Linked DNA regions of Saccharomyces cerevisiae S288C. Changing the gene in region 4 together with the main gene of any one other region gives a genetic interaction. Each region holds a gene or a part of one and is shown on either strand. Other genes may lie near its edges.

Evidence for each region.
Region 1: mutations in OPI3 (region 4) and HAC1 together harm fitness more than expected from each alone (negative genetic interaction), as found in Saccharomyces cerevisiae (7 studies listed by BioGRID, with this or other methods).
Region 2: mutations in OPI3 (region 4) and CNB1 together harm fitness more than expected from each alone (negative genetic interaction), as found in Saccharomyces cerevisiae (6 studies listed by BioGRID, with this or other methods).
Region 3: mutations in OPI3 (region 4) and ARL3 together harm fitness more than expected from each alone (negative genetic interaction), as found in Saccharomyces cerevisiae (5 studies listed by BioGRID).

What each region holds. Positions count from the first base shown.
Region 1 is NC_001138.5:73,371-76,647, reverse strand, and holds HAC1 (transcription factor HAC1), read right to left. Parts: upstream 1,470-3,277; coding exon 809-1,469; intron 557-808; coding exon 501-556; downstream 1-500. Other genes in the region: protein kinase RIM15, read left to right, coding at 2,221-3,277. UniProt on the Saccharomyces cerevisiae protein: Transcriptional activator involved in the unfolded protein response (UPR) pathway. Recognizes and binds to the UPR element (UPRE) in the promoter of UPR-regulated genes such as KAR2, PDI1, EUG1 and FKB2.
Region 2 is NC_001143.9:81,169-84,050, reverse strand, and holds CNB1 (calcineurin regulatory subunit B), read right to left. Parts: upstream 1,105-2,882; coding exon 1,053-1,104; intron 977-1,052; coding exon 501-976; downstream 1-500. Other genes in the region: DPH2 (2-(3-amino-3-carboxypropyl)histidine synthase), read right to left, coding at 1,412-2,882.
Region 3 is NC_001148.4:458,109-461,059, reverse strand, and holds ARL3 (Arf family GTPase ARL3), read right to left. Parts: upstream 1,098-2,951; coding exon 501-1,097; downstream 1-500. Other genes in the region: mannosyltransferase complex subunit MNN9, read left to right, coding at 1-281; KTR6 (putative mannosyltransferase), read left to right, coding at 2,602-2,951. UniProt on the Saccharomyces cerevisiae protein: Involved in the targeting of ARL1 to the Golgi. Can bind and hydrolyze GTP.
Region 4 is NC_001142.9:571,815-574,795, forward strand, and holds OPI3 (bifunctional phosphatidyl-N-methylethanolamine N-methyltransferase/phosphatidyl-N-dimethylethanolamine N-methyltransferase), read right to left. Parts: upstream 1,122-2,981; coding exon 501-1,121; downstream 1-500. Other genes in the region: GTPase NPA3, read right to left, coding at 1-310; Ran GTPase-binding protein MOG1, read left to right, coding at 1,281-1,937; HOC1 (alpha-1,6-mannosyltransferase), read left to right, coding at 2,167-2,981. UniProt on the Saccharomyces cerevisiae protein: Catalyzes the second two steps of the methylation pathway of phosphatidylcholine biosynthesis, the SAM-dependent methylation of phosphatidylmonomethylethanolamine (PMME) to phosphatidyldimethylethanolamine (PDME) and of PDME to phosphatidylcholine (PC).

The DNA.
Region 1 (3,277 bases), on a different chromosome or scaffold from region 4:
CTCATTGGCCCGGAGTTAGGGGGAGATGTTCGCTTGCGGGAGCACGGGAGAAGGAACAGAGCGGCGTTAGCATCAAGTCTAAGGTTGAAAAGCTGCCCAACCTAAGGGCATACATCAAGAATTCTTTATAGTTTTATATAAAAAAATATATATATAGATAAATAGACAGATAGATATGACACAAACAGATAGAAAAAAAGCAGAGCGTGGCTCTTTGAGGTGGAACCCCAGCCAGTCTTGCTCCTTGCAGCCAAAAAAGGGTCTTGTTCAAGAGCTATGTTCAGTGTCGCTGCCCAGTCGCCACAAATAATTGTAGGAGGGCGCGCCAACCTCACGTTTGCATTCTTGAAAAGCCTCTTCTTCTTCGGTTGAAGTAGCACACACTAACCGGAGACAGAACAGTAGAAACCACTAAGCGAAAAAGAAATATATGAAAAGAAAAAACCCACCAACAGCGATAATAACGAGAAAAAAAAAATTATACCCTCTTGCGATTGTCTTCATGAAGTGATGAAGAAATCATTCAATTCAAATGAATTCAAACCTGACTGCGCTTCGGACAGTACAAGCAAGCCGTCCATTTCTTAGTAATAAGAAAAGAATGGCTCTATTTGTTCAGGAAAAACTAGCATAAAAGAAAAAAAGAAAGCTTCCAATAACCCTGCATTCTGCTTTTGAAGGTACTTTAACCGGCTCCTCCCCCATCAGAGAACCACGACTAAAAAAAAAAAAAAAGAAAAAAAGCAGAAAGCAAAAGCTGGGGCTAGTGTTCTTGTTCACTGTAGTTTCCTGGTCATCGTAATCACGGCTGGATTACGCCAATTGTCAAGATCAATTGAATTGTCAAAGGGTAGACTGTTTCCCGCTATATCGTCGCAGAGTGGGTCTGCCAACGGCGAGGCCACCGCATCAAACAAATTGTTGTTGTCTACGGCAGGTAGCGTCGTCGACTCTGGTACATTTTCCGTCTTAAACATCTGCAGCTCCCATGAAGTCTCTTGGTCCGACGCGGAATCGCGCATACTCTTGGGCGACAAAGTCGCAGGCTCCATTGTACAGTTCAGAGGTGAAGGTGTGAACGTATCAGACGACGAGTGCGAACTGGCCCTGGTGTCCAGTGAAGCGCCCCTCGTGCTCTGGAAATCCCTGTACTCGTCAAGAGAAGCAACAAAAGCGTCGTGGCTGCAAGTCAACGCGTCTTCGTGGTCAGCCAGTTTTTCAAGGTTGACGCTGTTCAGTAAATTTTCCAAAAGAGAACATTTTCTCTCGAGATACTGCAGATGTAGTCTTTTTTTCTCTCTGCTCTGGTGAGCAGCTCTTCTGTTTCTCAAAATACGCTCGATCCTTCGCTGTTCCTTTTCCTCTTTTGTCTTGGCTCTTTTCCTTGGAGGCAGAGTCGACTTGAAGTTGGTAGGGATAGCCAAGTTCGATTGCGAATTACTAGTTAGTTCAAAATCAGTCATTTCCATAGTGGCGGTTGTTGTCGTAGGTGGGGGAGGAGGAGGTTGTTATGTTTGACACTGAGTTAAAGCCTTGGAAGTTTAAATAAAACAAGAAGACAAGAAGAAAGGAAAATTTCGCTAAAAAACATATTTCTGTATTCATTTCTCGAGTTGTCCATTGAGGTGAAATTTCTTCTAATATATAGTGAATGTAGGGAGCGAGAACAAAAGAGAACAAGGTGTTCAAAACCACGTTCATCACTCGGTACGATGTATATTTGCGACTCTTTTTAGCCCTACTTAATGCTGAGCCACTTTGCCTTACAACCCTCATAAATGTATTTTTATCCTAGCTTCTTTTTCCATATTGCCCTAGGTCTTGTTTATTCATGTCACGTGACTATATTTCCAGGTTTTTCTTTTTTTCCTCGTCCCTTTTGTGGGAAAAGAAAGCGTCCTTACTAAAAATGAGGGAGCTTTAACTTTAATATACAGCTTTTGGCAGCTTGGTGTTGTTTTTCATTGTAAAAATAAGTTGTTGTTCGTATCACAGCATTTTCAACTTCTGCATTGTCTGCCGTTTTTTGTATAGATATAGACGTATATATATATACAGAATTCTCTATCCTCTTAACCACTCCTGGAAGGCCTGCTGTAGAGGTTCTGGTGGGTGCTTTTACTGAATTCCTAACTCATCAAGCATTTTCCCTTTTTTTTTTTCCCTTTCCTTTCTCTTGCCTCATTTGATAGAATAGATAAGCCCAGTAGAGGAAGACAGATGTTCAATAGAAGTAACACCGCAGGCGGATCTCAGGCTATGAAAGAGGGACTTGGCATAAACAAGCTCTCCCCGATATCATCGAATTCGAACCCAAGCTCATTGACTTCCTCCAATTATGAAAAATATCTGCAGCTGGCCACAGAGAAGAATCCGTGTATGATCTTGGAGCTGGAACTGGACGGCAAGGTGCGATATGGCTCTCCACAGTGGAACACGATCACAGGAGTCGCCGATGATAGTGGCTCTTCTCCGACGTACATTGCAGACCTTATTCTCGGATCCGATCAAGATAAAGGTGTCTTTCAAAAGGCCACAGACATGCTGCTCATGAATGATGACACCAGTTGCACTATAACGTTCAAGATAAAGGCAGCCGACTATGAAGGTAGCGCAGGCTGTGACGATGAAAGTACGATAACGACCTTGGAAGCACGTGGTATCTTAATCAGGGATGGCCACACACAGTTGCCCTCTCACACGATGTGGATAGTCAAGCCTCGCACAAACGACTGGTCAGACTTTTATGCCAACGAAGACGCTCAAGACGACATGGTCATCCAGTTATCCGATAATTGCGACGATATCGATATCCAACTTCCCGAAGAGTTCGCCAAGACGCTTGGGTTCGGCGCTAAGATCTTCGTGCAGTACTTGAAGAGAATACGACTGGAAATGATAATAGACGAGTTCAATCTACCTCTGCCAAAAATGGAACTATGCCGGGTCTGTGAGAACTTTGTCCCTGTTTGGTGGTTGGAGACCCATTCGCAAAGTTGCGTTTGCGAGCATAGAACGGAATCGCTCATACAATTACTACACGATAATCTTCTTGAGCAACAGGCGATCTTGGCAAACTTCACGAAAGATTCAGAGTATAAGGGCAGTCAGATACAGGTACGTTCCAACAACTTCCTTAACCAAGTTTTAGACTCCTTAAGAGAGCTGTGTCAGGACGCCATAGATATCAACCCGAGTGAAATGGTTCCTGATCTTTACCACAGTCTTTCAACATTTCCTCAAGATAATGGTAATAATAACAATAATAATAATAATA
Region 2 (2,882 bases), on a different chromosome or scaffold from region 4:
GGTGTAAGAAGATAGTATGATGATTGAGAGATAGTCATCGGGTTTAACGGAAGCTGATATGTAAGGATTGATAATGCAGTGGGATAGTGAATAACAACACATAAAACAAAGAAGAAGTAATAATCTTAATTTATATAACTATTGATCCCCCTTTGTGCATTGCCATATTTTTGAGGAAAATCTCTGGTATTCTGTATGTCTGATATCAAAGCTATTAATAACAATGGAATCCCAAAAATTATCAAAGTACACCCCGCAGTTATTACATGAGATCAGCTTCCATCTTGGTATATCTCGTCGCTGACATATATGCTCTCTCTCATCTCTATGTTGTATCATTGCTTTCTTATTGTTTGTTACATATACATATATATATGTATATATCATCAGCACTCTAACTGGGCGAGTGTGCGTTCCTTCCTTAAAAAACAATATCGCGTATTATTCTTCTTTTCTTAAAAATATTGGCATACCATAAATGAATGAAGTGTCCCCTAGTCTTACACATCGTATTGCAATGTCAGACTCTTGGCCACTTCTGTGGTTTCGATAGCATTCTTAAACTCCTCGAAACTTAAACGTCCGTCGCCGTCGCTATCGTTTTCCACTATCGTCCTATCTACTATCTGTTGCAGCTGTTCATCGTCCAGATTAGAACCTACCATAATCTTCAACACGATGAACAACTCACCATTGGATATGAAACCGTCCTTGTCAATGTCGTAGATTTTGAAGGCGAATCTTAACTTTTCGTCCTTGGACCCACGCCCACTGAAAATGGATAATCCTGTGATGAACTCTTGAAAATCCACGTCCCCACTATTATCAGCATCGAAAACCTCCATTATACGTCCAGCAAGAGGGTTTGACGAAACGCCAGGAATGCTCATAAATTCATTTTTATCAATAGACCCTGAGCTATCTCTATCTAATTTCATGAATCTCTTCCTTAACCTTTCAATTTCATCTCTATCAACTGTTCAAAGTGTCAGTGTTAGTAAAATCGGTTAATTTCCCCTTTCTTTCTTTTCCTCACTCCGAAGTGTACATACAATTTGTATCTTCTAAAAGACCATCCACAATTTTGGAAGGAGCAGCACCCATTTTAAGAAATAAAAATGCTTCTATGGATTCTGATCACCATTGAGTTACCAAGTTTTAGCTACTAGATGTTCCGTGTAAACCACACCAGCACAAAGCACCTTTATTGCATTCCGCTAAAAAAGAAACTAGTGATTTTTAAGATGATACCCGGCCTTCCACGCGGTCACTTCGCACGGAATGTATATCCCATTTTGGCGGCTAATTTCCAAGGCTTCCATATAAAGAGTTAATTGTTTTATTATTAAATAGTTTATTAGTTAAAATCTTGGATTTAAATAGAGAAGTCGAGGGAAACAAATTATAAGAGTCATTTGTTTTCCTTTTTCATAGCGTCTTCGCGATCAAATCCATAACCACGTGCGACACCGGAAATACCTTCTTCGATATCCGCTCCAGTATTATCAACCTCAGTAGAGTCGAAATCGCTTCCTAGACCTTTCCACGAACGATTCTGCAGTGCTGATGCTGAAGTGGATACAGTACCTTTAATGACGGCACCTGAGGCGGTATGTCTTGTAGTCAGTTGTTTGGAATCGTCGTCGTCGGCCGCCTCTAACTCCAGGTGCGTTAGCGCTCGCAGTGGTCTTGATGTGCTAGTATATCTTCCCCTAACTACATCAAACTCCGGTTCATCGGAAGTTGTGCTGGCAGAGATGGTATCTTGTCCGCCCAAATTCTGCTCGATTTCATCAATGGCGTCTCTGAAGTCCACAACCCATTTCCCGGTCCATGTGACCTCTTCGCTCAAGGCCAAGTTTAATTCATAAGGTGTAATAATGGGCTTGTAAAACTCGTTGAATTGATCAACGATGATACCGCTTTGGCTACAACCGAGAATGCACCAAATATCAATATCTTCAAAGTTTGCTAGCTTGGCCACATTTGGCTTTCCGACAACAAATAAATAGTGTTTTTTCTCACGAGTTTTGATAAGCTTGACCAGCTCGTTGATAGTTTCTCTTGTATTACGTAGCGACAGCGTGTTGACCAGAATACCTATACATCCCGCTGTTCTTGCCACATGCATGTACTTGTAACGCCTCATTAGAGAGGGAAATGGCCCCGTTACCATGCCAGGTAAAGCCGGATCGAAAATATGAACAGATTGAAACACAGTAGACAAATACAGTAATCTCGGATCCTGTGGGGTGGTCAAATGGAAAAGATGATAGTCCTCGGGCGAGATGTTGTCTGCTTTGTCGTGCTGACCAAACAGCACGCTATTTTTTTCGAACACACCCACCTGGTCTACGTCTTCGGGAACGTGAAAGGTGTCAAGTATGGTTACGAATTTTTCTTCTACCGCAGAGGTGTTCACTTGGGAATATATGATATTTGTGTAGTGCAGGTCGCCCTTCAAAATATTGTACAGCTGTGACAAATGCTTAGAGAAGGGTGCGTTTGCCATCAAACAAATTTTGGAGGATAAGTCTGGGAATGCCCTCTGAAAGTTCTCCACCACCAGTGCCAAATCCAAAAATGGAGTTCCGAATGAGTAAACCACGGGCAAGTTTTGGATGGCGTTCAAACATGCGTCACCAAAATGTACCACGACTTCTGCATGTACGTGTTCAGCAGCGACCTCGTCTACACAGCATGCACTGTACGCTGTGTCAGCTAAAACCCAAAACTTTATCTTCCCATGGGGAAATTTCGATTGCAGCAGCCTTACTATCAACGAGGAGTCCTTGATTAAATCGTCAGGAAACTGCAAGGTCACGTTTTGGTACTCCGGGTGCTGTTCCAGATAACCCACGAGAGGCTCGACATTGTAATAA
Region 3 (2,951 bases), on a different chromosome or scaffold from region 4:
TTGTCGAGGGTTATGCAGAAATTGCCACTTATAGGCCATTAATGGCTCATTTCTACGATGCTAATGGCGTACCAGGTGAAGAGATGGCGCTGGATGGTGTTGGTGGAGGCTGTACTTTGGTCAAAGCAGAAGTTCACAGAGACGGTGCCATGTTCCCTAATTTCCCATTTTATCACTTGATTGAAACAGAAGGTTTTGCTAAGATGGCGAAGAGATTAAACTACGATGTATTTGGCTTACCAAACTATTTGGTTTATCACATAGAGGAAGAGAACCATTGAGCAACTGAGCAAAAAGCATACAGAAGCTATAGCGTTATTGAAAGATAATATTGTTGCGATTATTAGTTGAAAATAAACAAAACAAGATATATATTCATATATATATATATATAATTTACACATGTATATTAAAAAATGCCGAATAAAAAGTGCTACAACAACTAATTTCTGAGCTTGAGAATAAACCATTCACATTTTATTTCTTTTGGTGCTTCTTTATCATTTATAAATCGGTGGTCTTGACTTTTTATTCCTTTCTAGTCTAACAATCATCCATTCTATAGCGTCTTTAACACCTTCTCCAGTCAATGCGCTTATTGGTAAAACCCTACTATCTCTAGCGCTTATATGTTCCGCAATCTTATTAAATACTTCTTTTATATCTTGTACTTCCATTCTATCTTGTCTATCTTGTTTATTGGCCAGCATCAAGATGGGTACACCTTCAATTTCTTCATCCATTACAACTGACTGTAGGGTCGTGGAACATTCGTCTAATCGTTCTCTATCTGAACTATCCACAATGAAAATTATACCATGACATAGGGAATAGTATTCGGACCACATTGATCTCAGTGATTCTTGACCACCTACATCCCAAAACTTCAAGATCTGTTTACTGTCAACGGGTATTGTCGCCACATTTTGTCCTACCGTAGGCTGTATCTTTTCCAAGGCTTTGAACGCCAGAGAGTATTCCTTTTTCAATGTCTCCAAGAACGTCGTTTTGCCTGCATTGTCTAGACCTAATATTAGAATTGAATATTGTTCCTTTTTATTCCAATTATTGTAAAGTCCCTTGACTAAATGAAACATGTGTGCGGTGCGCTTTATATGCTTTATTCTCCTTCATCTACTTGATTAACACATCGATCTGAATTCGTTTTTTAATTTTCCGTTTACATTTGTCTGAAAAAGGTGTAAACATATTTCTTATACTAACACTCCCATAAAGTTCAAAGTAGAAAATAGGAGGTGGGGGAGGATACGTACATATGCAAGCTACATTGACGTATCTGCTCTTAAACATAAAATAAAAATGCAGTAGTATGTTAACTTATTTAATGGTGGGATATATGCTTCTAACTGAATATAACTGCTTAGCATTCAAACTCTAAAATAACAAAGTTTTCATCACCTAATAAATGAGAAATAGAATCCGTAGCTAAATCGGTCGAGTTCAACAAGACTTCTCTATCTTCATTTTTAATCAGTTTCCCACCGACCCAGTTAAGATTTTTCAAAAGATCCAAACCATTATTAATTAAATCATCTCTTAAAATATACAATCTCAATTTCATGTATTCGAATTTGAAGTTTTGGTTCAGGTTGGAAGTTAGCTCTAAAAGGGCAAGTAACCAATCTTTATTTATATAGGTACTGTGGTTATCATGAACGTTCCTACTATTCAGTAAAGATGGTAATACAACATGGAAATAGTTTTCATTAAGTTTACACCAAATCAGTTCCTGCGTAAATAGGGGAAGATACAGTATGAAATACTGCGAGCCTAGTTTTCTCCAATTGTAACCATCGTGGCTATTATTATTTTTATATTGCTTGGTATTTTCATTATAAATTAGTCTTTTTAACGTAGTTTTCATATCGTTTACAAGCTTATTTTTCAACAGCTTAGCAACAGACTTCTGATTGTTCCCCTTATTTTTTGACGGAACATTGTAATCTAATATGAATTGAGATTCCATGCATAAAATAACATCCCAGTAAAAATCGATGATATCAATCTCTGGTGGAACGTCTAGAGGGATGTCACGCGCACCAATCCTTAAATCCCCCACTAGCCAAACTATACGTAGAAAGTTTAGGCATTGGTGTGCACTTATTACTTTTTAGCAGTGAACTTACTGGAAAATGTAAAGAAATACCCAGATTTGATGGGTCCTCTATGAGCCTCATGAGTTCAGGACTCTGTAAAACGTTTATTATTTTTGTTTTCCTTTTCTGTATTACTTCATACATTTTCAAAGATCTTTTTACTTCTTTATGTTATCCTCACTATTGAAATACAACGTTACTAGGTCTTTTATCTTTCCATATTTTTATTCTCAATCACATACATATATAGTCATCGCCGATTATCTTTTCGTTTTTTAAGTGGCGCTCTCGTGAGACACGAGTTGTTCCTTCACAGGAAAAAAAAATATAAAAATAACCTTCAAGTTACATGTGATATTTATTCGAGAAATGTGGATGAGATTTGTTAAATGTACTTATAATGTGTACGAGTATACAAGACTAGAGGGATACTAAGCGTTCACCCAACCTTTTGTGCCCTTTAGTGAAGATAAGATAAGGTAAGATGCACGTACTGCTGAGCAAAAAAATAGCACGCTTTCTGTTGATTTCGTTTGTTTTCGTGCTTGCGCTAATGGTGACAATAAATCATCCAAAAACAAAGCAGATGTCTGAACAGTATGTTACACCATACCTTCCGAAATCTTTGCAACCTATTGCAAAAATTAGTGCAGAGGAACAAAGGCGTATACAAAGTGAACAGGAAGAAGCCGAATTGAAGCAATCTTTAGAGGGAGAGGCCATTAGAAATGCCACCGTGAATGCCATTAAGGAAAAGATCAAATCTTATGGTGGTAATGAAACGACGCTAGGGTTCATGGTGCCATCGTATATCAATCATAGAGGATCACCACC
Region 4 (2,981 bases):
TGCAGTTTTGGAACTTGTCCTTCTTCTGTTCCACCAACCTAATAACTTGATCAATCTTGGTGCTGAACAAATTCAAACTGGTGACAATGGCACCGTTCGGACCTAGCTGGTAATTCTCCATCACTTTCTTGTATTTGATTGAGTCTCTGATATCGATGTTTGCACCATAGGGGACTCTCAATACTGCAGGATCAAGATTGATTACGTATGGTGGCGTTTTCTCTGCCCGCAAGTGGGAGTTTAACCTTTGCATGAAAGTTGTTTTACCGGATCCGGCCATACCAATACATATGATTGTGCTGAGACTCATTCTTGCTGTGTCGTTATTGCGTTTTGTAGTTGTTTGTGTGCGCTAGATGCTCTCATTGTATTCCTTGTTAAATAGAGCATCGCATTAAAATTTTTTTTTTTCACTTTCGCGAAGAAATTGCTTATGGAGCTATATAGAAACGGTAATAGCATAGGCTTCTAACATTATAGAATATATAGAAATAGAGCACTTACATATTCTTTTTGGCCTTATCACGGTTAGCGTAGATCATGGCAGTAAAAGGTTCTTCCCAACGAAGAGCGATCTTGTACATGAAGTAAACTACGGCAGAAACAACCAGCCCCGCAGGCTTTCCTTTGTAAAGGGCTATGCCCAAGAAGGACAAAGTGGAACCCTGGTACATGGGGTTGTTGGAAACGTTGAAGGGGAAGCCGGTGACTCTCTCATCCATCAGGATGCCGAAATAGTCACCCAAGTACGTCCCTGTGATACCCAGCTTGTACATGGAACTCAAAACAAGCACTTGCCCCAAACCAAAGAGAGCCACACCCAGCTTGGTCCAGTTCTCGCCCGTGATCAGAGAACACGTAGGCTGTTCACGCAATGCAGACTCGTACACCATGTCTCTGACGATACCTAGCGAAAATATGGTCGCCGCCAACATGTAACAGCCCTTTCTGGCCCCACCACACATCTTGGTGAGAGAATGCTTGTGGTATTCCATTCTTGCAACGATGTTCCAAAAGATAGGATTGAACATCGTGCACACAATGGCCAGCTGGAACTTGGAAGACTGTAAATCGACACTGTGGATGAGTTGCTGGATGATCTCTTGGACTGACTCCTTCATCGCTTGACTTGCGCTATTCTTGTTGTCTTCAATTGCTGTTTATGGCTCTGTCCAAGAACGTTCATGTTCTTCATATGTGTTCTCTTATAAAGACCCCTTATCCAGTGGTCATTGCAGTGGCAGTGGACAGAAACCAACGATGCATGTGTGGGTTTGCATATGAAGATTGAAAAGGCTTCTCATATTTCACAACCGGTGCAACTTTCCACATGCACTCTCATTGACACCTACCCTGGTCATCAAGGAAGCATGAACAACAAGGAAGTCGAATTATACGGCGGCGCCATCACTACTGTCGTCCCACCTGGGTTTATAGACGCTTCTACTCTAAGAGAAGTCCCCGATACACAGGAGGTGTACGTCAATTCCCGTCGCGATGAAGAAGAATTCGAAGATGGACTAGCCACCAATGAAAGCATTATCGTGGATCTCTTGGAGACGGTCGACAAGAGCGATCTGAAGGAGGCTTGGCAGTTCCACGTGGAAGACCTGACGGAGTTGAACGGGACCACCAAATGGGAAGCTTTACAAGAAGACACTGTTCAGCAAGGAACCAAGTTCACCGGACTCGTTATGGAAGTAGCAAATAAGTGGGGAAAACCAGATCTGGCACAGACCGTTGTCATCGGCGTAGCGTTGATCAGATTAACCCAGTTTGACACGGATGTGGTCATCTCCATTAATGTACCTTTGACAAAGGAGGAGGCGTCGCAAGCAAGCAACAAAGAGTTGCCTGCAAGATGTCATGCTGTTTACCAATTGTTGCAAGAAATGGTACGGAAGTTTCACGTTGTGGACACGTCGCTGTTTGCTTAATCTTTCAAATTTTAACCTTATGTTTATATTACCTTTTTATTTCTACTATATAGCGTATTACATGTTTTTTCCGATAAGTATAACGAAATTTCCCAGCAGCGAAGAAAGTGAAAAAATAACAGTGACCATAATGAACATTCCTCTCTTTCCATTTTGCACGTATTCTTGCAGAGAAGAGGCACTCTACTCGGAAGACAGCAGATAGATATATAGACTGTAGCGGTTAACGATGGCCAAAACAACAAAAAGAGCCTCCAGTTTCAGGAGGTTGATGATATTCGCCATAATAGCCCTCATCTCATTAGCATTTGGAGTTAGATACCTATTTCACAATTCTAATGCTACTGATTTACAAAAAATTCTGCAGAACTTGCCCAAAGAGATTTCCCAAAGCATTAATAGTGCCAACAATATTCAGAGTTCGGATTCTGATCTAGTTCAACATTTTGAGAGTTTGGCTCAGGAGATCAGACACCAACAGGAAGTTCAAGCAAAGCAATTTGATAAACAACGTAAGATCCTGGAAAAAAAAATCCAAGACTTGAAACAAACACCTCCGGAGGCCACCCTAAGAGAACGCATAGCTATGACTTTCCCCTACGATTCCCATGTCAAGTTCCCAGCATTTATTTGGCAAACTTGGTCCAATGATGAAGGTCCCGAGCGTGTTCAAGATATAAAGGGCATGTGGGAAAGCAAGAATCCGGGCTTTGCGCACGAAGTGTTGAACCATGACGTGATAAACGCACTAGTACACCACTACTTCTACTCCATACCGGAAATCCTAGAGACTTACGAAGCTCTGCCCTCCATCATCCTAAAGATAGATTTTTTCAAATACTTAATACTGTTAGTTCATGGAGGTGTTTATGCTGACATCGACACGTTCCCTGTTCAGCCAATTCCAAACTGGATTCCTGAAGAGTTGTCGCCATCCGACATTGGGTTGATAGTTGGAGTTGAGGAAGACGCTCAAAGAGCTGACTGGAGAACCAAGTATATCAGAAGACTTCAGTTTGGTACTTGGATTATACAAGCAAAACC